6 linked regions of the Macaca fascicularis genome follow. The protein of the gene in region 5 interacts with the protein of the main gene of each other region in a pairwise test. Links are inferred from orthologs where the notes say so. Each region holds a gene or a part of one and is shown on either strand. Other genes may lie near its edges. The genes, in order: WAS, ABL2, ARHGAP12, SH3BP1, TRIP10 and ARHGAP17.

Region 1 (2,568 bases), on a different chromosome or scaffold from region 5:
GTGGGGGCTGCAGCGCTGAGCTCTCTGGGGCCCCAGGGGTCTGCAGCAGGCAGGGGTCAGCACAGAGGGCTCAGGGCCTGGGAAAGGAGCATTTCTCCCCGCCCCTCCATCAATATTTTCCCTCCCACACATTCCAGTACCCTTCAAGGCTTCCCACCAACCTTTCCACCCTATCACTGAATCCCCAAGGCCTGGCACTCTCCTCCGTCCTGGCCTCAGCCCTCCAGTATCCTGACTTACATGGGTACCCCAGAGTTCCAGACCCCCAATCTTCCATCCTACTTGTCCTCACCTTGTTCAGCTGAATTCCCTGCCGGATTTGATCCAAAAGCGCTCCCCGACCCCCACCAGGGGCCAGGCCCCCGGCAGGCACCAGAGCAGGAGGGAGTAGGGGAGGGGCTGGTCCATTCCCGGAGCTGGGTGGCGGTGGCGGTGGTGGTGGTGGTGGTGGTGGCATGGGTGGCCCACCAGCTCCAGGGGGTGGTGGGGGTGGTGGTCCAGAACGTCCAGTAGCTGGAGGGGGTGGTGGTAGAGGGCCCCCTCGGCCTGGGGGTGGGGGTCCCCGGGGCGTTGGTGGGGGTGGGGCAACCCCCAAAGGTACAGGGGGCAGTGGACCAGAACGACCCTTGTTACCCCCCACAATAGGGGGCCGAGGGGGCTGGTTCCCTCCTCGAGATGGCGGTGGGGGCGGCGGAAGTGGCTCTGTGGAGGGAGTATAACACATAGCTGTAACTTTCATTGATTTCTTCTGAGCCTCAGTTTTGCTCATTTGTAAAATGGGTACCCCCACTGACCAACTCCTGACTGAAGCAGTATAGGTGCTCCCATAAGGACTGAGTGACTTAGTGAATCTCTTAGCTATGAGCTGCTAGGGCTGGAGAAGGGAACGTATGGAAGCAGGGGCTCACCCTGGCGCCTCATCTCCTGCCGCACAGCCTCCAGCCCACCCTGGTCCTCAATGAAGTCGTAGATAAGTTTAGAGGTCTCGGCATCGGTGAGCTGGGCCTCGCTGATTCCTGCCCTGGAGAACAGACTCCGTAGATCTGGGTCGAGGTTGTTCACCTGCCCAGGAGGAAAAAGGCCAGGGGCGGGAGTAGAGGAATAAGGTGAGGAGAGCAGCGACACGGATTGTCGTTGGGTTCATCCCAGCAAGGGATCTGAGAAGGGTGTGGGAAGGGCACGGTCTGGGCGTGGGGTCTCAGCAGTGGTCTTTGGAAGGGTGGGTGGAAGTTTAGTGGAGTCCGAGAGACTCTGAAGTTACTCACGTCAAATCCATTCTGGGGGTCCCACCCCACATGGGTGACATGCCTGGGAGAGGTGAAGAGACTCCAGTGAATCCCCACTGCCCTTCCTTCCCTCCTTTTGTAGTGAAGCCCTCTTGCCCTCTCCTGCTCAGAGAGACTCTGAGGGGCCAGAATTAATGAATGAGACTGAATGAATGAATGAGTATGGGCAGCAGTTACGGAATTAGAAGGGCTTCATAGTTTGTGGTGCTGATCCATTCACCCATCCCTCTTTCCCCATCTATTCACCCACGCATTTGTCCACCTATTCATTCACATTCATCTGTTGGATTACTGATCTGTCCATACATCTGTCTCTGCAACTATCTGCCCACGTTTGTCTGTTCACCCATTTGTCCACCAATCTGTCCTCACACACACTTGTCCATCCGCCCATCCACCTACCCATGTGCCCACCTTTCCATCTATCCATTCACACATTTTTCTACCCATGCAACCACACACTTCTGTTCACTTATCCATTGAACTGTCCATTCATTCACATATCTGTCCACCTGTGCCATCCCCATCCACCTTGTCTGTGAGCCAATCAGCCTGCATATCAATCTGTCCACACACTCATCCACTCACCCATCCATCTACCATGCACCTCCCATCAACCCATCCACCCATCAACCTGTCCGTCCAACCACTTACCCATTCATTCTTCAACCCATTCATTCATCCATTTATTTATCCATCCATCCACCCATCCACTCACCCACCTACCCACCAGCCCCCCTCATCCATCATCTGCCTCATCTATCTATCCATTCATTCACCTGCCCACCCACCTGCTCCCCTAACAGCCCACCCAGAGTGGGCCCAGGCTGAGGCAAGTGAGGTGCCTAGGGTGCAAAATTTAAGTGAGTCACTCACTCTCAGAGTCAGGAATTACAGTTGCATGCCTCTGAGAGTGAGTGCCTCCTTAAATTTTGTACCCTTGGTGCCTTATTTACCTCTCCCTAGACCCAGCCCTGCACCTACCCATCCATCCACTCATTTACCCACTCAGCCACCCAGCCATCTGCCCTTCCTTCCATCGTCTCAGCTGTCCACTTGTTCATGTGCCCCTCTGCCCCCAGGAATCTGTGGGCCCACTGGGGACTGGTTCTCACTTGAATCCACTGGGTGCACCAATATCAGCTTTGCTGATCTTCTTCTTCCCTGAGCGTTTCTTATCAGCTGGGCTAGGTCCAGGTGCTGGGAGCCCACGGTATCGTGAACTCGTGATGTCAGGGTTCTGGATGTCCACTGTCGCCAGCCCCAGGGAGAGCGGACCCAC
Region 2 (4,117 bases), on a different chromosome or scaffold from region 5:
TGGCCACACCCTGGATGGCAATGGAATAATTTCATAGTGCTTTTATAACAGGCAATATCTACGTCAGTGGATGGTTCATCTAAGTTCAACCTGGTTCAGGAAAGATATGCAAAGGAGAGCTCCATCCACCTCCTCTCCCAACCCTACCTTTCCAGTGGTTGTTTTGTTCCTTCTTTGCAGTGGCTCCCGTCCTGTCTAATTTAAGCAAAATTTCAGTGTTTTTTTTTTTTTTTTTTTACCTCCATTAACTTATACTTTTCATAAAGCAAATTGGGAAGCCAAAAGAATAACAGGAGAATGATCGAGCTTTTTGAGAATTAAAAAATTTGAATTAACATTAAGATGCAAGTAAGCACCGTGGGAGAGGGGCATGGCGAGTCAATTGTATATAGTATACGTGTGTGTATAAAACACTTCTTTCCTGCCTCATTCACCCTCTTTAGACCGCATAAGCTAACATGAGTAAGTTCTGACTCAGAAACAGGGTCAAAGATGTATATTTTTTCTCCTTTGTCATCAAAAGAAGACCTGACCACGTGCACAGTGTATAAAGGATGCCAGTGGGAAGATTAACTTTACTGTCAGGCATTGTAAGGGAAACAGAAACTCACATGTGGTGAGATAGGAGTTCAAGAGGAATTCATGGTAATATAATATGAGGAATGGGGCTACAATTGCGTCCCCAATGAGACTATAGAAGGCACACAATCCAGGCGAGTGCGATTTAACATCATGAAATAATCTCCAAAAATTAAAATCAAATAAGGTAGCATTTTACTCTCTTCTTGTAAATTTTATACCATTTTAATTTTTACTGGAGGCCTGCTGCTGACAAGGGTATTTAAAGGGATCCCCCTGGGCATTTCAGAGATCCTCAACTGGATGGCAAGGACCAAATAAATGCCTTGTGCTTTTCTGCCCCACCTGTGCCTGCACCTGAGGGGCGCACGCGGGGGCACTCAGCCCTCGACTCACTGATTTGACAGGTGGAAGTGGGATGGGGAAGGCCGGAGACCGACCAACCCCAAAGGCAGTAGCGTGTGGAGCCGAACGTGGGAGGGGGTCGGCTGAGGCGGATTGAGGGGTGGGATGCCGAGGTGCGGCGACAGGACTCGGAGGACGAAAGACTGCAGCAGCGGTGGTCGCCAACTGAGGTGGGCACTGGGGGACCCACCCTGCGAAGAGGCGGGGGCGGGGGCGCGGCGCGGCAAGGCGGGGCGGCAGCCGGGAAGCCCTCCTTCCCAGCGGCGGAGGTGACTGGCGGGCGGGGGGCGGGGGGCGGGAGACGCTCTGTCCCACGCTTTCCCAGCGCTCGGTGGTTTAAAGATGGCGGCGGCGGCAGCGGCGGCGTTTGGGGCGCGGAGCCGCGGGAGGAGGAGGGAAAAGCAGAATCTGTGAGTCGCCTGGAGGCAGTGCGGCGGCTGCCGTGAGGAGTCCGGGTGCGGAGCCGCCGGCGCCCCAGCCTCTCAGGGCCAGGGTCTGGGCTGGGAGGGAGAGGCCGGAGCAGCGCCAGGAGCCCGAGGCCGGAGTCGAGGAGGAATGTGACCAGGGGTCGGCGGGGGCGCGGGAGTACGCGAGAGCAGGGATGGGGCAGCAGGTGGGCCGCGTCGGGGAGGCTCCGGGGCTCCAGCAGCCTCAGCCCCGCGGGATCCGGGGCAGCAGTGCAGCCAGGCCCTCCGGCCGCAGGCGGGACCCGGCGGGGCGCACCACAGAGACCGGCTTCAATATCTTCACCCAGCATGGTGAGTGTGTCCGGGAGCCGGCGTGAGGGCGTGCGGGAGGCCGGGGGTGGGGTCGGGGCGGGGTGGGTGACGGACGGGCTGCCCGGGGGGTCGGGGGTGGAGGGTGCCTGAGAGTGGGGGCGGAATCTGCTGCCATCTGGTTCAGTCCTGGGAGGCGAGTCACACCCCTCCCCCCTCGCGTCTCCAGCTTGGCTGGCAGATCCCGGGGGCGGAGAAGGAAAGAGAAGTGGGCTTGGGGACCCTGGATGGTCTGTCCTCTACTCTGGGACGGGACTATGCGGCTGGAGAAAGAGAGTGAATGGCAGCTTCAGGAGAGGGAAGGATGAAGGGCAGTATGAGCTCAGTCCCAGAGGTGGGAGCATAAACCCGTCGTTAGTGAAGGGGAAATGGGTTGTGTCCTAAGGGACTGGGAAATAGGAACCGAATTTCAGGAGATTGTGGCGTAGAAGGTAATGTGTTTACGTCAGGTGATGAGCAGTGTCACGATAGTGAACTGTGGAGTGCCCAGAAATGCCTTTCTGTAGGAAAGATGAAGGTAGCATCTCATCACTTTTGACATGCTTTTGTGGTTTGTTTTGTTTTGTATTTCGTTTTTACTAGAAGTGAAAGGCTTTGCCAAAGCCTCTGTACTATGCTTCAGAGTAGGACACACAATTCTGAGATTGCTGGCAAGGGTTAGAGGTTGGTGGGCATGGTTAGGACTTCAGTCAGTATTTTTCCCCTTCGTAGTGTGTGTGTGTTCGCGTGCCCATATACATACTTACATGTATGTGTGCTCCCTGTAGTCTGAAACCTATTATTTTGATCTCATTGTCAATGTATTTTTAGAATAGTTGTCTCCAAACTGTTGTTGTTTTTTTTTTTTTTTTGAGACAGAGTCTCGCTTTAGTGCGCATTATGGAGTGCAATGGCGGGACCTCGGCTCACTGCAGTCTCCGCCTCCCGGATTCAAGTGATTCTCCTGCCTCCCGAGTAGCTGGGACTGCAGGTGCGCACCACCACGCCTGGCTAATTTTTGTATTTTTGGTAGAGACGGGGTTTTGTCATGTTGGCCAGGCTGGTCTCGAACTCCTGACCTCAGGTGATCCGCCTGCCTTGGCCTCCCAAAGTGCTGGGATTACGGGTGTGGGCCACCTTTCCTTGCCGCAACTCTTTTTTTTTTTTTTTTGAGACAGAGTCTCATTCTGTCACCCAGGCTGGAGTGCAGTGGCACGATCTTGGCCCACTGCAACCTCCGCCTCCCAGGTTCAAGTGATTCTCCTGCCTCAGCCTCCTGAGTAGCTGGGATTACAGGCGCCCGCCACCATGCCTGGCTAATGTTTTGTATTTTTAGTAGAGATGGGGTTTCACTATGTTGGCTAGGCTGGTGTGGAACGCCTGACTCATGATCCACCCGCCTCAGTCTCCCAAAGTGCTGGGATTACAGGCATGAGCCACTGCGCCTGGCCACATGTCTCCTATTAAAGATGTGCTTGAGTGTCTCTTTCAGGTATATGAACACTTTGTGAAGGTGATATATGAGCTAATCTTTATTAAAATGACTTCCTAAAACATAGGATGGAAGAATGGATTAGTAGTTTACAGGGAAGAAATCATCCAAGTAAGCTTCACTTTGTGGGAAGTGTTACTATGCATTAAACTTGGCCTAGTAGGCAGTGATGATCCTCCTCCTCTACTATCTTATTCGGTATATAAGATTTTCCAAGAAAGAGGAAGTAGTGAAGAATGGAATAGGAAGACATTTTGAGGATTTGGATCCATGGAGAGGGAGAACAGGTTGGGCAGAAGAAACAACTTGAGCAAGAACATGGGAATAGATATAATTTGATGATAGGATAGTGAGGAGACATCTGTCAGGAATGAAGCATCATTATGAGTTGGAAGAAAAAGATCATAGAGCAAAAATTGGAAGAGTCGAGTTCTGGTTCTGGCTCCACCTGGCTGGGTGATTTTAGTCACCATCTTTGGGTTTCTTTATCTGTAAAGTGAGGAGGTTGGACTGGATGATCTCTAAGATACTTTCTGATTTTAAGATTTTATGATTCTAATTAAGAAGCAGTAGAAAGAAAATTTTGATAGGCTGGATGGGACTGGGTTATGGAAAATCTGGCAGAGAAGTTTATATTCGTTTACCTGCTTGGCTAGTCTTCACCTGAAAGACTGGCCTTGAGTGGTGGCAGTGGAAATAGGAGGAGTAATTTCAAGGGGCCTTTCATTCATTCAACAAACAAGGGGTTTTTTTGAGCACCTATTACATACTAGGTTGTGGGAATGTTGCTGTGAACATAACAGAGTCCCTGCCCTTTGGAACTTAAAGGACTTTATGATTTGATAGAGGATGAAAGAAGAGAGATCACTTTGGAGTATTTGTTAAG
Region 3 (3,500 bases), on a different chromosome or scaffold from region 5:
CAGAGACTCTTGTCTCAAAAAATAAATTAATTAAGATAAAAAAATAAAATAATTAGAAAGTAATCAGGGGACAAATGTGTTAGGACACCTAATAACTTTTACCATATGTTTTTATTCTCTTTACCCATTCAATACATACACTTGAAAAACAGTTCTTTCATCTTAACAGTTTTATAGTAGAAGAGTTGTTTCTTATATGATCAGAAGTTTAGAAAGATGCTTGTCAGAATGAAAAATAAGGGAAAAAATGAAATTGAGACAGTATGGAAGTACAGTGGGAGAGGGCAGTGGTAAAGCCAACCTCAGTGGCTGTTGGTGGTTGTGTTTGCATGTGTTTGGAGGGTGGTGCTGACCACAATCTTGATGTATAAAACTTTCCTGGTTCCTTATGGCTGTTATAAAAAAAGTTTTGCTTTTAAAAATGTAAGCAGCATTATATTCTTAGTCTTACTTCAGCGATCTTGGTTTGAGTTAATGAACTTTTTTTTTTTTTTTTTTTTTTTTTTACAGATTTAAATTGATACTGGTGTACATCTCCTTGTTCTAAGGTAATTTTTTAGTTTTTAAAACTGTATTGTATTAAATTTATTAGTCAAGTAGTTTGTCTAGAAAGTAAATTTCAGTTACTACAATTGTATCAGTGACTGACTGACCACCTGGCCTTATAGGCTTTTCGTCATAGAGAAGATTGTTATCCTCAGGAGAATGATGGTTACTACACCTGTAGTGTACAATAATATGCTCAGTACTTGTTCGCTATAGAAAATTAGTAGATTGTTATGGAACCTTGGGTTTACACATTTTTGGTAAATCTCAGTTTGCCTTAGGATCCTTGAGCATTGGGTTGAATGTATTAGTTTCCTAGGGCTGCTGTAACAAATACTACAAACTGGGGTGCTTAAACAGCAGACATGTATTTTTATTCTCTCACTGGTCTAGAGGCTAGAAGTCCAAAATCAGTTTTGGCAGGGCCATGCTCCCTCGGAAGGCTCGGGGGGAGAATCCTGCTTTCCTCACCCCTGCCTGGCTGCTGCTGGTTGCCAGCAGTCCTTGGTGTTCCTTGGCTTTTAGCTGCTTCACTCCACTCCAGTTTCTGCCTTTCTCTTCAGATGGTCTTCTCCCTCTGTAGCTTTTCTCTCTGTAAATCTCCTTCTCCTTTTTTTCTTTTTTATTTTGAGACAAAGTCTCACTCTGTCACCCAGGTTGGAGTGCAGTGGCGGGATCTTGGCCCACCACAACCTCAAACTCCTGGGCCCAGGAGATCCTTCCACCTCGGCTTCCCAAGTAGCTGGGACTATAGGTGCATGACATCACACCCAGCTAATTTTTGTAATTCATGTAGAGGCAGGGTTTCGCCATGTTGGCCAGGCTGGTCTCAAACTCCTGGGCTCAAGCCGTCCACCTGCCTCAGCCTCCCAAAGTGTTGGGATTACAGGTGTAAACCACTGTGCCCTTAATCTCCCTCTCCTTATAAAGGCACCAGTCATTGGATTTTGGGGCCCACCCTAATCAAGTATGACCTTGTCTTGGTTACATCTGCAAAGACCCTCTTTACAAATAAAGTCACAGATCCTGGGGTTAGAACTTGAACTATCTTTTGGGGGAACACAATTCATCCCCAACAGGTGGGAACTGGCTCATGCTGTAGTGATATGAGGATGCAGTGATCATTTAAACCCATAATGCTGTGTTCTAGGAGGTACTAAAATATTTTGGAATTGGTATAGAAATGAAAGTAAATGCATATTAGTTGTTATTAGTGAACTTTTCTAAGAAGGTGAAGGAGGTTTGAGGGAGTCATGAAAGGAAGGAAAGTTTTTCTCAACTCTTGTGTCTGCCTAATTAGTGTATATTTACTGTTCCAGTTATTGGCTTTTGTTTTGGTCATAAGTGACTGAAAAATGTAGATTACAGTTAGAATGAAAGTGTTTTTAATGTGGCAGTGCATATGATATTAGTCACATGTTTGCTTTTTGGGGTTTGAGATTTGAAGTAATGTTCTTTAAATGGCCTATACTGTATGATGCTTGTGAGTAAGTACCAAATCCAGATTGCATTAACTTTTTTCTTCATTCTCTTCCTCCATTTAAATAAAACAGCTATATTCATCCAACAAGTCATAAAGCCATAATGTGGTATAACATCCTTTTTGAGAGGTGAATATTATTGAATGAAAATGGCTGACAGAAGTGGGAAGATTATTCCAGGACAAGTGTATATTGAGGTGGAATATGATTATGAATATGAAGCAAAGGATAGAAAGATTGTGATAAAACAAGGGGAGCGGTACATCTTGGTGAAAAAGACCAATGATGACTGGTGGCAAGTCAAGCCGGATGAAAACTCCAAAGCGTTTTATGTGCCAGCCCAGTATGTGAAAGAGGTCACGCGCAAAGCTCTAATGCCACCTGTTAAGCAGGTAGCTGGTCTACCAAATAACTCCACGAAAATAATGCAGAGTTTGCATCTTCAGAGATCAACAGAAAATGTGAACAAATTGCCTGAGCTTTCAAGTTTCGGAAAGCCGTCGTCGTCTGTTCAAGGAACAGGTCTTACTCGTGATGCCAATCAGAATTTTGGACCCAGTTATAATCCAGGTCATACTGTCAACCTAAGCCTGGACCTGACCCATAATAACGGAAAGTTTAACAATGACTCACATTCTCCTAAAGTTTCCAGCCAGAATAGGACACGCTTATTTGGTCATTTTCCCGGTCCAGAGTTCTTGGATGTAGAGAAAACTAGCTTCTCCCAGGAACAATCTTGTGATTCCGCAGGAGAAGGCTCTGAAAGAATACATCAGGATTCTGAATCTGGTGATGAACTTAGCAGCAGCTCCACTGAACAGATAAGGGTAAGATTAAAAATAGAATGAGGAAACACTTGTACCACCCTAGTGAAAATATTATAGTTTTTCTTTTAATTGAAATATTTATAAGAGTTAAGACTTGTTTTGCTTTGTATTTTCAGAGTACATGGGTTCTATCCTGATTTAAAGATCTAGAAAATATGTGAAATAACTTGTGGAGTTCATAAAGGGTCACTTTTTGGTTTTCATAATTATTCTTATACCATAACAGGACTAGATCTACTTTAAGTGTGGAAACTTCTTTTTCCCTTTTCTCTATTGATTATGTATAAGGCAGAGGGAATTTACTTAATTTACTCAGTGATGATATTTCTTCTAATAGAAAAAATTTTTACTGTTTTCTACCTGTACCCATTTTGACTTGTTTCCAAGAAGTCTTCAGGTAATAATTGGTTATCTGAGGAAAGATGTCATTGGAATATTAACTGCTCACTTTTGTCTTAAGTGTCTAAGTATCCACAGTTGATTTCACTGAATATTAGCCTGGAAAAATTTTTCTGTGTTCCTGGTTCGTTTTTTTTTTTTTTTTTTTTCTTAAAGACAAGGTCTTGCTCTGTCGCCCAGGCTGTAATGCAGTGGAACAGTCATGGGTCACTGCAGCCTCGACCTCCTGGGCTCAAGCGATCTTCTC
Region 4 (4,203 bases), on a different chromosome or scaffold from region 5:
TGGGAAAAGGGAGATGGGGGAAGGAACCTTGCCTGACATCTCATCCTGGCCTGAGCTTTGATCTTGGAGCCTCCCAACTTCCTACCAGGATTCCACACTCAGGTGGGCTCCCGTCTGGGAGGCTCTGGCCATAGCAGGCAGCTGTTGGGTTCCCTTCTCAGCTCCTCCCACCCCAATGAGGCCTGCCTCATTAGGGAAGAGAGAAGCAGCCAGTGAGTGTGCCAAGCCCAGTGCTGGGCACTAGGAGAATGGAGATGTGTGGGGCCAAGGTCCTGCCTCTGAGAGACGCCCAGTCTGCACCGGAACACAGTAGTGGCTCTAGTCTCAAACTAAACTGAAACTAACAAAGCAAAGTGCAGAGGGTGTGGCAGGACTCTGCGGCACACCCTCCCCTCCTCCCCACCCCTGCGGCTCCTGATGCCACAGCAGTGCAGGGTAAGGAGAGCCTACTGTCTCCCAAAGGCTCTCACATTTTGTATAACCAGCAGTTATGGAGCAACTACTGTATGCCTAACTCTGTGTTGAGGGGAGGGCCAAAGAGAACTACTGAGTTTGGGGGCCGTCAGAGCAGCACCCACATCATTGCCCTACAAGAAGGAAGAGGGACTGAGGCCATTTGCCAGGAGGAATGAGAGGAGATGAGCTTCACAGATGGAGCAAACTGCCGGGAGATGTGGAGAACAGGGTGTCGGGAACTGCTCTGGGAGGGTTCCTGGTGGCTGGGGGGATGGCACACACCTCCCTTAAAAGGAGCAGGCAGGGGTGTCTTGTCCACTCTGCGGGATGGGCAGGCCCAGGACAGCTGGCCCATTAGACCATTAGAGACAAGCGAGTCTGGAGTTCCAGGGACTTGTCCACGGCCACACAGCAGCCCTTGGCCCCAGGAAGCCAAAGCTTCCAGCCAGTCATCGAGTGGTGGGGGGTTTAGTTCCAGGGGGCCAGAGGTCCTCTGCGGGAGGGAGTGCAGGGCAGTATCCCTGCAAGTCCAGAGGGGCCAGGACAGGTCAGAAAGGCCCATCCCTCCTTCGCTTGGCACCCTCTTTCCCCTTTGCGAGGGATGCAAAGGTTATTTATACCCTGGGCCTGCCGGCTGCGGGTGGGGCAGGCACCCCATCTGGGGCGGGCTGCGGGCGCGGGGGCAGGAACGGGCTTACCTGCTTCCCGCCACCAGGGCTGGGCGGGGCGCTGCGGGGAGGAGGAGCGGGGCACAACCTGTGGACGGCCGCGGCCGGCGGACTCACAGCAGCGGGGGCCCGGCCGGGGGTCGCCGGGGGGCCCGGAAGCCGGGGGAGGGCGAGGAAACCAACTTGGAGAGAGGAGTGACCTGGGGGCCGGGGGCGGAGTCGTGAGCGGGGGAGGAGAGAGCCGGCCGCCAGCGAGAGCCGCGCGGCGGCCCAGGAAGCGAGAGCGCCGCCCACCCATCCGGGGCGAGAGCCGCGCCGCAGGAGAGGCAGGCTGGGCCGGGGGCTGCCCGGGCCCGCGACCCCCGCCGTGACCCCGCAGCCCCCAGCCCGCCCCCAAGATGATGAAGAGGCAGCTGCACCGCATGCGGCAGCTGGCCCAGACGGGCAGCTTGGGACGGTGAGTGTCACCCCCTTCCAGCCCCACTCTTACCCCGGCAGGACCTGAGGGGTCGTAAAAGGGTGGGGGGAGACGGGGATGGGGGAGACTGGGGACAGCTGAGCAGCCACTCTCTGAGCGGCCAGACCCTCTCTTCCTCCCTTCTGAACGCCGCCCCCGTCTCTCGGGCAGAGCTGGAGGAGCAGGGGTGGCCTTTGCGGGAAGGGATGCCCCCCCTTACTGGATTGGAGGGGGCTTCAGGCGGGAGAATGCTCTCTGCCCTAGGACACAGATTTCTCTGCCTCCACGAGTCTCTAAGTGGATGGTCCTCCTGACCTCACTTGTTCCCTCTGGACAATGGGGCAGTTCACCACCTCTGCTTGCTGGGCTGGGGAGGGAGGAGGGTCCATTTAGGGCCGCAGACCTGGGGCGAGGGGAGGAGACGGGTCCTGGCCTGGCGGGAGGAGGGGCCTGCCCCTGGCCTGCGGCGTCCGTTCCCTTACCCCTCCCCCCACCTCAGGGGCCTCCTGCTTCTCTGTCTTGTTTCTGCTTTTCCCAGACTCAGGTGGAAACATCCCCAGGTCTCCCAGCTCCCACCCCCAGCCTCTGAGCCGGTAGCACGGACGCCGGAAGTTTGGGGAGCCTCTGAGGGCCTGTCTTCTCTGCTCCTCTTCCCCTGCCTCAGGAGTTCCCCATTCTCTGGGTCCGGGGAGGGGACCGGGTGTCCAGAGACCTAGTTCTAGTCTCCCACTGGCACAGATGCCTACGTAGCCTGGGCAGTTAGGCCACCTTGCCATGGGCCTCGGCATCCCCCATGTGTCCCCAGGTGGGGTCCAGGGGCCTGTGCACCCCTGCCCACAGCTGTAGTCCAGAGTGCTGTGTGACTGAGCCTAGGACTCTGAGCTCCCGCACTTCCCGTTCTTGGAGCCAGCTAATACTCCTCATCCTGGGGTGGGCCGAGGATTTGGGAGTGGGCAGAAGAGAGGCTTCTGTGTCCCAAAGCTAGGCCCTGGGTGGGTCTCCCAGCCTCCCCTTCAGTTTCATCTGTCCGCCCTCTTTCAGGACACAGCCCTGGGTGGAGGAGGAAAAACCCATGTATCCTATTCCCACCCCCATGGAATGTGCTCTGACTGGGATGAGGCAACTGGGCCACCCAGGGCGGGCCGCACCTGGGAGGGACAGTGGAGGCACTGGGGTCCAGGTGCCCTGCTGCGGGGAGGGGGAGTAGGGGGCGTTCTAACCCAGGCAGGCTCAGCAGAAGCGCTCTCCCCCCGCAGCACCCCGGAGACCGCTGAGTTCCTGGGTGAGGACCTGCTGCAGGTACGTGCCTGGGCCGGGCGGGTGGGAAGGCAGGCCTGTGCAGGCTGTCGGAGCAGAGGGCCAGGGCGGGGATGCCAGCTAGGGGCCCGGGTTGAGTCATTCCTCAAGCTGTTGGCCATGGGGTCCCCAGGGGACAGGAGAAAGTTTCCTGCTCAGGGGGAGACAACTTTTCTTGATCCTTAACCTCCAAACCTCCTTGCCAGGTAGAACAGCGGCTGGAGCCGGCCAAGCGAGCAGCCCACAACGTCCACAAGCGGCTGCAGGCCTGTCTGCAGGGCCAGAGTGGGGCAGACATGGACAAGCGGGTGGTGAGTCGGGGGTCCTGGGAAGGAGGAGCCTGAGCAGGAGACTTCCGTCCAATGGGGAAGCAAAGTCGGGGCTGGGGTTTCCTTGCCAGTCTGAGTGGCACCAAGGGCATGGAGACTGCTCTGTTCCAAGGCCTCTCTGGCACTGCACTCAAAAGGCCCTGTACCTTCCCTGTCACCTTTACCCCACTTTCCTGTGCACCAATCCCCATAAGCCAAGGCCAGGCCTCTGCCAGCACCTGAACTTCTCTGTCCACTCAGCATGCAGAGCAGGCTCTCAATGGGGCAGCCTCAGAGGGCTTCCTGAAGGAGGTAGCAATTGAGCTGGCTTTTGAGGGATACTCATGTATTAATCAAGGGGCAGTGTTTATTGGCTGATAACTGCCAGCCTATTGCTAACATATTAGCGCATTGTCTCATGGAACACTGGCAACAACCCTAGGGAAAGGCACTGTTTTACAGATGAGGAATTGGAGGCTTAGAGGTAAAGTCACTTGCCCAAGGTCATATAGCCAGTAAGTGGCAGAACTGAGGTTTGAACCCTGGTCTCTGATCCCAAAGCAGGCATTCTCCGTAACTCCAGATGGGGTGGGAGTGTGGGGCCATGTTTTGGAATCAGTTGACAATTCAGTGTGGCCAAGACAAGGAAATTGGGAGTCATAGGGCGTTTGAGCTCAGCAGTGGCTAGGTCAGCCACATATACCCTGGCACAGGGGAAAGAGCCCCCATTCCCAGGCCAGCTCCCCCTCCCATTCTCCCTCCACCCGTGTGACCTGGGGCAAGCTCCCTGCCCTCCCTGCATCTTAGTTTCCCAGTCTGCAGTAGGACTTGGTCATCCCTTCCTGCCCAGTCAAGTGGCTTCTGGGAAGAGGAAAAGGGCACTCCAGATGGGGAGGGGCTCCATCCATGGTCTCAGGGAAATGTCACCCACACCATGCCTTGTCATCTTGTTTCCACTCTCATCTGGGACTGTGGCATTCCTGGGTTCCCTCCTCACCTGCCCCCAAGGGGCTGGCCT
Region 5 (3,500 bases):
CGGATGGACGGATGGACGCGAAAAGAAAAAAGGAAAAACAAAATGGAGAAAGAAAAAAACGGTAAGAAAACCACAACTCAAGATACACAATCACACAGAGAAAACGCATGCAGGAGCGACACAAAAACATTTGGAAGGTGGCGGGGAGGACGTTGAACTGTAAGCCCAAAAGCCAGAACTCTCACACCCCCGGTATCTCCTAGGTCTCTGGAATGTTATGTCCGGGAGCAAGCATGGGTCCAGGAGGCAGGCAGACCCATGTATCTCTGTCCACTTAGCTTTCTGGGCTGACAGTCTAGAAGACGCATGCAGGAATCGAGGTCTCAGACAGGTGTGAGGCCACGGAGGACACAAAAGATAAACAAAAATAAAACCACAAGCTGAGAGGGAGTGGAAGGCAGGAAAATGAGAGGGGTTAGCGGCGTCAGAGGTTTAAGCTCGGGGATCGCAGGTGGAAGTCAAGGAGAGGTATGAGAGTGTAAGTCAAGAGGGACCCAGAGTATAAATCAAAGGTATAAACCAAGGGTGCTAAGGTATATTAAAATCCAAAAACCCAAGAAACCAGGACGTGCAGGGCAGCTCCCGGAGTCCCATCAGCAGGATGGAGAGAGAAACTCGGGGAGTCCCCAGGGATGGTGTCACCAGCCCTCAGGCCAGCTCTGAATTCCACCAGCAGGTTTTCTCCCAGCATCCCGAGAAGCAGCAGACAAACGCCACAGACCTCCCCACCCTGCCCCCGCCTTCGCCTCGGGGGACTCCCAGGCCAAGCGGCCCGCCCGCCTTCCTTCCCTCCAGCCCGGGCTGGCAGCCAAGAGGAAAATTCCTGCCCGGGACTCGGCGTTCAGGCGGCTGGGGCTGACTCAACAGGGGCCCCACTGTCCCCACCTCACTGTCCTTCTCCCCCACCATCCCAAGGGTCCCGGCCCCCACCTTGTTCTTCTTGCCAAAGGGCCAGCGCTTGGTGCGGATGCGGCCTGGGCCTCGGAGCTCCGGTCGTCCTTCCGAGGGGGTGCCCAGACTGCTGTCCGAGGGTGCACGGTTCATGGGCTGGCTGAAGTCCTCGAATTCCACGTCGCCCGGGCGGGCAAAACCTGACTTGTGCAGCTCTATAAGGACTTGGGAGTCCTGGGGGAGGGGGACAGTGGATGAGTAGTCAAGTGACCAGCGTATGGGGACTTCCCTCCGCCCTTCCCATGGCCCACTGGACCCAGACCAGGCACCCACGTTCTTGGGATCCACAGCATTTGCAGCCACCTTCATGCCCTCCAAGCACTTGGCGATGATGGGCACCACCTCCAGCTCGGCCTCCGACAGGAGCCCATACCCGGCACCCAGGCGGGTGGCCCTGCGTTCATCCATGTCTTGGAGCTTCTGTAGGGACGGGGACAAGGGTGGCTCAGGGGTGCTAACAGAGGGACTAGAAGCACAGTGATTCACTCTGCAAATATGATCGCACTCCACGCTGGCCCCAACCCCAAGCCAGTCTGGAGGGGAAGACAGAGTCAGGAAGAGAAGAGACTCCAGCCCAGTGTGGTTGGGGAGCGACACAGTGCCAGGGGGATCTCAGAGGGGGACGCCTGCCTAGGGGGTCAGCAAAGGCTTCTCAAAGGAGGAGACAAAGGAGCAGGGATTTGAAGAAAAAGCAGAACCAGCCCTGATACTTCCAGGGCCTGGGATGGGACAGAGAATGGAGCACTAGATTGAAACAGGAGAGGGGAAATTCGAGACCTTTCAGAGAGGTTGTTAGAGGTGGAGCTTAAAATAATAAGTAGGAATTTCAAAAGGAAAGAAACCTTGCTTGAGCCCAGGGGTTCCAGGCTGCAGTGAGCTGTGATTGCGCCACTGCACTCCTGCCTGGGTGACAGAGCCAGGCCCCATCTCTCTATAGAAGTAAATAAACAAACAAGTAAAAGGCATGCCCAGCAGGAAGAACAGCTGATTAAAAGCACAGCTCGCTGTTATGATAGGTTTCTGATTCCCTTTCAATCTAGGGACTGGGACATTGCAGCTGGGGTTTTGACGAATGTGCAGGAGTTGGCTAACATTTGGGGGCTTTTGGGAAGGTAGGTCTGAGAACTGGGAGCACTCACATCAAATATCTGGGGCATCTGTGAAAAATAGAAGTGGGCTTGGTCTCGGTTGAAGCGCTGCAGTTGAGCTGCATATTCGTTTTTGCTTTCTTCGGCCATATGACTCCGAAGGTGGGCTTGCTGCTTGGCCTGAGGAATGAGGAGGTGGAAGGTACTACCAGGTTCTGGTCACGTCCCACCCGGACCCCCTAAGCTTGTCCCAGACCCCGCCACCCCCTCACACACCTTCTCCACGTCAGCCTTGGTGGCGTTGATATCCTGGTCTAGCCGTTCAGCAGTCTGGGCTGCCTTCTCTGCCTCCCGGCAGTCCCGCTCAAATTTACGCTTACTCTGTGTAGGGTAGGGGACAGAACCAGAGTGAGGGAGCCACCCTCCCAAAGACAGCAGGGTGGGAAACCAAGGTTTCAGGGATTGTTGGGATGTCAACCAGTAAGTAGGGGACAAGGGCGTACTAGAAGCCTATGGGGCAGGGAAGGACCAGGTCTGACAAAGAGGGCAGGTCCCTGACTCCAGGATCTGCAACCCTGACCCCCGTGCCTCCGGGCCACAGTCACTGCCACCTCTGCAAACTCACATTCTCCAGCTGTTTGAAGCCGTTTTCCAGCTGCTGCTGGGCCCGCCGCCCTTCTTGGAAGTGCTACAGAAAGAAGAGCGATAAGGCTCGCCAGAGTTCCAGCAGGAGCCCTTCCCAAAACCTGAATCGGAGGGGAGTTCCTCACCATCTTCCTCTCCTGTTTCATCTCTTGTGAGTACTTGGTCAGCTCAAGACAGACACGGACACTGAGGTTCTCGGCCACCAACTCCCGCTGGCCTGCAAAGTCATTCACCTCCTGGAGAATCTGTACGAAGGACTGTTGCTGGCTGAATCTGGGGTAGGATGAGAATCGGGGAACAGGGAGTCAGGCCCCCCAAATAGGCTGATGCCCCAGGACGCACCTCCAGGTGGAAAAGGGTTAAGCCCCAAGAATTTAATCCTTGAAGCAATGACAAGTTGTGGTCCATATTCCTTAACCCCAACCTTTGAGTAGAATTTTTTTTTTTTTTTTTTTTTGAGACAGGGTCTTGCTGTCACCCAGGCTGCAGTGCAGTGGCATAATCGTGTCTCACTGCAGCCTCAAACTCCTGGGCTCAAGTGATCCTCCCACCTCAGGCTCCCAAATAGCTGGGACCACAGCCACACGCCACCATACCTGACTAATTTTTTTTTTTTTTTTTTTGAGATGAGGTCTCAAACTCCAATCCCCCCGAACTCCGCCTGTTCCCGCCTCACCCTCCCAAAGTGCTGGGAGTACAGGTGTGAGCCACTGCACTGGACCTCGAATGTATTTTGGAACACAGAATTTTCCAGTTTTTAAAGATGGTATACTGAGGTCAAGAGATCAAGACCATCCTGGCTAACACGGTGAAACC
Region 6 (3,500 bases), on a different chromosome or scaffold from region 5:
AAAAAAAATTTTTTTTTAGAGACGGGGTCTCACTACATTGCCCAGGCTCTCAAACTCCTGGCCTCAAGTAATCCTCCTGCCTTGGTCTCTCAAAGTGCTGAGATTACAGGCATAAGTCACCACGTCTGGCCCATTTCCATACTTCCTAGTTCCCATCTCAAATCTGTTTTTGGGGAATGAAACAGAAGTCAAGTCCAGAAGGCCTACCAATGGTAGTATAAGGTTATCACACCACACTGCCTCTTAACTGAGATGAGATGTAGAAACAACCCTATGTGCATATGCAAACCCTACATCTGAAAGACACAGAAGGCTGGAAAAGCTGGGCGCGGGGGCTCACATCTGTAATCCTAGCACTTTGGGAGGACAAGGCGGGAGGATCGCTTTAGCTTGGAAATTCAAGACCAGCCTGGGAAACATTGTGAGGCCCTGTCTCTACAAAAAACTTTTTTTAGAAAATCAGCTAGGTGAGGTGGTGTGTGCCTGTTAAGTGGCTGAGGTGGGAGAGCTGCTTAAGCCCAGGAGGTCAAGGCTGCTGTGAGCCATGTTCATACCACTGCACTCCAGCCTGGGCACATAACCCTGTCTCAAAAAAACAAAAAACAAAAAGACTGGAAAAAACTGTTGCTTTGAGGAAGGGAATGGTGGCTGGATGCGGCTGGAGGATAGGGTGGAAGGAAGGCTGACTTTTCACTTAAGCCCACTGATCTATGAACTTAGCAACTTTTTCTTTCAGTTCAGAAAGTAAAAAGATACCTGGCTTCCTGAGCTTGTGCTTACTGGCTCAGCTGGCAGGGAGAATACACAAGGCAGGTAACTGAGAATTGTCTGCCATGTGCTAACTAGACTCATGCACTGTTTTCTGTAACTTAAAATATATGAAAGCTAATTTTGTTACGGGTAGAGTTTGTCATCAGGAAATACTACTGAATGTATGAACGAGGGTTCAGAGAGGTAATATGTCACACAGAATAAATGTGGATTTTGGACGGACAGAATACGGACAGAATAATGCATTCTCCTTTGCTAGGGGTAAAAAGCGCAAAACCAAGAACAAGAAACAAATAAACAGCACACCTCACTATAAGATTGAGCAATTAAAATAAGAGTTTGTTACTTTGTTTTAATGTAAAACTATTTCTAGTAATATTGTTTCATATACCAAGACAAACATATTACTTCCAACAGGCCTCTTAACTGTTAGCATTCCTAGTGAGTACAGTGGCATTTCATCACACACATGGGACAGGTTGGCATCTAAAGGTACAAATCACAAATAGTTTTAATTACCCTTGAAAATCCCATGAATTGCCCATAGAAAAGAGTATATAGAGACACACTGCTTCTCACTAAGTTCAATACTGCCATTTTTTTTTCTTCTAGAAGTGGCAAATACTGAGGTTTTCCCCACTGAACATCAAATTCAGTGGTTGGCTTCCATTGTGGGGCCATTATTACACCAGAAATATGTCTCCTTAAATACCAAATCACTCAACTCACTGTGCCAGGTGGGTGTTCTCACACTCAATTCTGGACAAAAGTCCACACTATCAAACTGACTTTCCTTTCTCTTTCCCCCCACTCAAGGACATTTAGGTCAATTTTAACATGTGTATGATGCTGTCCCACTGCAGGGTTTACCAAGTACACCACCAAGTTAAGCTGGAATACACGTGGAAGAAAGGTTAACTGACAAGCTTTACACACTGACTTTATGGGGAGATCAGTGCTTGGAATGACCTACAGCAGAATTACAGAAACTATCTGGATGCCATCAGCCACAGGTGGATGGGGACCACTCTCAAATCCCAAGTCCATTGAGCGATACCAGATACCATGGGTCTAACAATATATTTACTGCTGGTTTGGAAGTGAATGGTCGAATCATACCTTTCCTTCTTCATCAGGTCTCCTTCCATCACCGCCATGCTAGCAGGCCGCTTCCTCTCCAGGGTCCCCGAGTCAGAGTCGTTTCCAGTGTGGGAAGAGTGATTAGAATTCGGGGTGGTGAGAGGTACAAATGCTTCCGATACATTAAATTCCACCTCTGCAAGAGGAAAAATAAACAAGTGTATGAGACACGGAGCACAGCAGGCGAGGGAGCTCTAGGACACCCCTCATTGGAACGGGGACCTCATTCTTCAGTCCACAGTCCCCACTATTTCAAAATGGAAGCTCCAGGCACTCATGTGGCAAGAATGGTCCATCAAACCAGTGGGAAGTAACAAAAGAGGACAAGACAGGGGAAGAAGTATGGGTCAGAATATAAGTTACACAACTTTTGTGCTTTCTCCTTTGTGGAAAAAAAAATACAAATCTAGAATGCAGAAGAGGATGATGAACACAGATCACTTATTTAAATCATTCAAAGAGATATTTAGCTGGGCATGGCGGCTCATGACTGCAATCCCAGCACTTTGGGAGGCTGAGGCAGGCGGATCACTTGAGGTCAGGAGTTCAAGACCAGCCTGGCCAAGAAAGTGAAACCCCATCTCTACTAAAAATACAAAAAATTAGCTGGGTGTGGTGATGTATGCCTGTAAACCCAGCTATTCAGGAGGCTGAGGCAGAAGAACTGCTTGAACTTGGGAGGCAGAGGTTGCAGTGGGCCGAGATCTTGCCACTGCACCCCAGCCTGGGTGACAGAGTGAGACTCCGTCTCAAAAAAAAAAAAAAAAAAAAAATTTATACTTTGATATAAAATAGAAATATAAGGCAACATAAAGTTAATGACATTGAAGGCACCCCTCCCGAGGAAATCTCAACTGCACAACCTCCTACTATGCCCCAATGCAGCAGAAAGCAGTTAGAGCGGTCGTCAGCCAACCTCCCCAACAGCACTTGGGTTTTCCTGTTGAGAGGGGGGACTGAGAGAGGACTAGCTGGATTTCCTAGGCCGACTAAGAATCCCTAAGCCTAGCTGGGAAGGTGACCGCATCTACCTTTAAACATGGGGCTTGTAACTTAGCTCACACCCGACCAATCAGGTAGTAAAGAGAGCTCACTAAAATTTGCTAATTAAGCAAAAACAGGAGGTAAAGAAATAGCCAATCATCTATTGCCTGAGAGCACAGTGGGAGGGACAATGATGAGGATATGAACATTACTGGCATTCGAGCCAGCAACGGCTATCCTCTTTGGGTCTCCTCCCTTTGTATGGGAGCTCTGTTTTCACTCTATTAAATCTTGGGAAAAAAAAAAAAAGGCAACATCAAGTTTATACTGCCTCTAGCAGTTTTTGCAAGACTCATTTCCTCAAAGGAAATCTTGAGCAGAATGCTAGCCTTCATTCATCCATCCCATCTTCCAGGGGCAACATACAAGAATGAGGCGTGACTCTTGATGGTGACAAAACAGTGGTGAAGAAAAGACGGGTATCGTGGGGCTTGCACCCCACGGGACATGGCAGCAGGGCTGCTCTGGGGGAAGTAGGTGTGGGGGATCCAGAGTTCTAACACTTGCCTGGCCAGCATCCCCAAAGGGGGCCATGGGAACCTCTG

The links.
Region 1: the proteins of TRIP10 (region 5) and WAS interact in a two-hybrid assay, tested with the Homo sapiens proteins (2 studies listed by BioGRID). The link is inferred for Macaca fascicularis from reciprocal best matches to the Homo sapiens genes TRIP10 and WAS.
Region 2: the proteins of TRIP10 (region 5) and ABL2 interact in binary tests that used the Homo sapiens proteins (3 or more experiments, as listed by UniProt). The link is inferred for Macaca fascicularis from reciprocal best matches to the Homo sapiens genes TRIP10 and ABL2.
Region 3: the proteins of TRIP10 (region 5) and ARHGAP12 interact in binary tests that used the Homo sapiens proteins (3 or more experiments, as listed by UniProt). The two-hybrid records come from large-scale screens. The link is inferred for Macaca fascicularis from reciprocal best matches to the Homo sapiens genes TRIP10 and ARHGAP12.
Region 4: the proteins of TRIP10 (region 5) and SH3BP1 interact in binary tests that used the Homo sapiens proteins (3 or more experiments, as listed by UniProt). The two-hybrid records come from large-scale screens. The link is inferred for Macaca fascicularis from reciprocal best matches to the Homo sapiens genes TRIP10 and SH3BP1.
Region 6: the proteins of TRIP10 (region 5) and ARHGAP17 interact in binary tests that used the Homo sapiens proteins (3 or more experiments, as listed by UniProt). The link is inferred for Macaca fascicularis from reciprocal best matches to the Homo sapiens genes TRIP10 and ARHGAP17.

The regions. Positions count from the first base shown.
Region 1 is NC_088395.1:48,843,038-48,845,605, reverse strand, and holds part of WAS (actin nucleation-promoting factor WAS), read right to left. Parts: coding exon 2,402-2,568; intron 1,309-2,401; coding exon 1,266-1,308; intron 1,063-1,265; coding exon 909-1,062; intron 703-908; coding exon 293-702; intron 41-292; coding exon 1-40. UniProt on the Homo sapiens protein: Effector protein for Rho-type GTPases that regulates actin filament reorganization via its interaction with the Arp2/3 complex. Important for efficient actin polymerization. Possible regulator of lymphocyte and platelet function.
Region 2 is NC_088375.1:36,738,370-36,742,486, reverse strand, and holds the start of ABL2 (tyrosine-protein kinase ABL2), read left to right. Parts: upstream 1-1,317; 5' UTR 1,318-1,585; coding exon 1,586-1,742; intron 1,743-4,117. UniProt on the Homo sapiens protein: Non-receptor tyrosine-protein kinase that plays an ABL1-overlapping role in key processes linked to cell growth and survival such as cytoskeleton remodeling in response to extracellular stimuli, cell motility and adhesion and receptor endocytosis.
Region 3 is NC_088383.1:32,630,191-32,633,690, reverse strand, and holds part of ARHGAP12 (rho GTPase-activating protein 12), read left to right. Parts: intron 1-510; 5' UTR 511-548; intron 549-2,099; 5' UTR 2,100-2,170; coding exon 2,171-2,854; intron 2,855-3,500. UniProt on the Homo sapiens protein: GTPase activator for the Rho-type GTPases by converting them to an inactive GDP-bound state.
Region 4 is NC_088384.1:14,000,342-14,004,544, reverse strand, and holds the start of SH3BP1 (SH3 domain-binding protein 1), read left to right. Parts: upstream 1-1,403; 5' UTR 1,404-1,522; coding exon 1,523-1,581; intron 1,582-2,837; coding exon 2,838-2,880; intron 2,881-3,083; coding exon 3,084-3,188; intron 3,189-4,203. UniProt on the Homo sapiens protein: GTPase activating protein (GAP) which specifically converts GTP-bound Rho-type GTPases including RAC1 and CDC42 in their inactive GDP-bound form.
Region 5 is NC_088393.1:7,506,727-7,510,226, reverse strand, and holds part of TRIP10 (cdc42-interacting protein 4), read right to left. Parts: intron 2,958-3,500; coding exon 2,810-2,957; intron 2,728-2,809; coding exon 2,665-2,727; intron 2,421-2,664; coding exon 2,316-2,420; intron 2,220-2,315; coding exon 2,091-2,219; intron 1,372-2,090; coding exon 1,225-1,371; intron 1,126-1,224; coding exon 931-1,125; intron 1-930. UniProt on the Homo sapiens protein: Required for translocation of GLUT4 to the plasma membrane in response to insulin signaling. Required to coordinate membrane tubulation with reorganization of the actin cytoskeleton during endocytosis.
Region 6 is NC_088394.1:24,023,613-24,027,112, forward strand, and holds part of ARHGAP17 (rho GTPase-activating protein 17), read right to left. Parts: intron 2,048-3,500; coding exon 1,891-2,047; intron 1-1,890. UniProt on the Homo sapiens protein: Rho GTPase-activating protein involved in the maintenance of tight junction by regulating the activity of CDC42, thereby playing a central role in apical polarity of epithelial cells.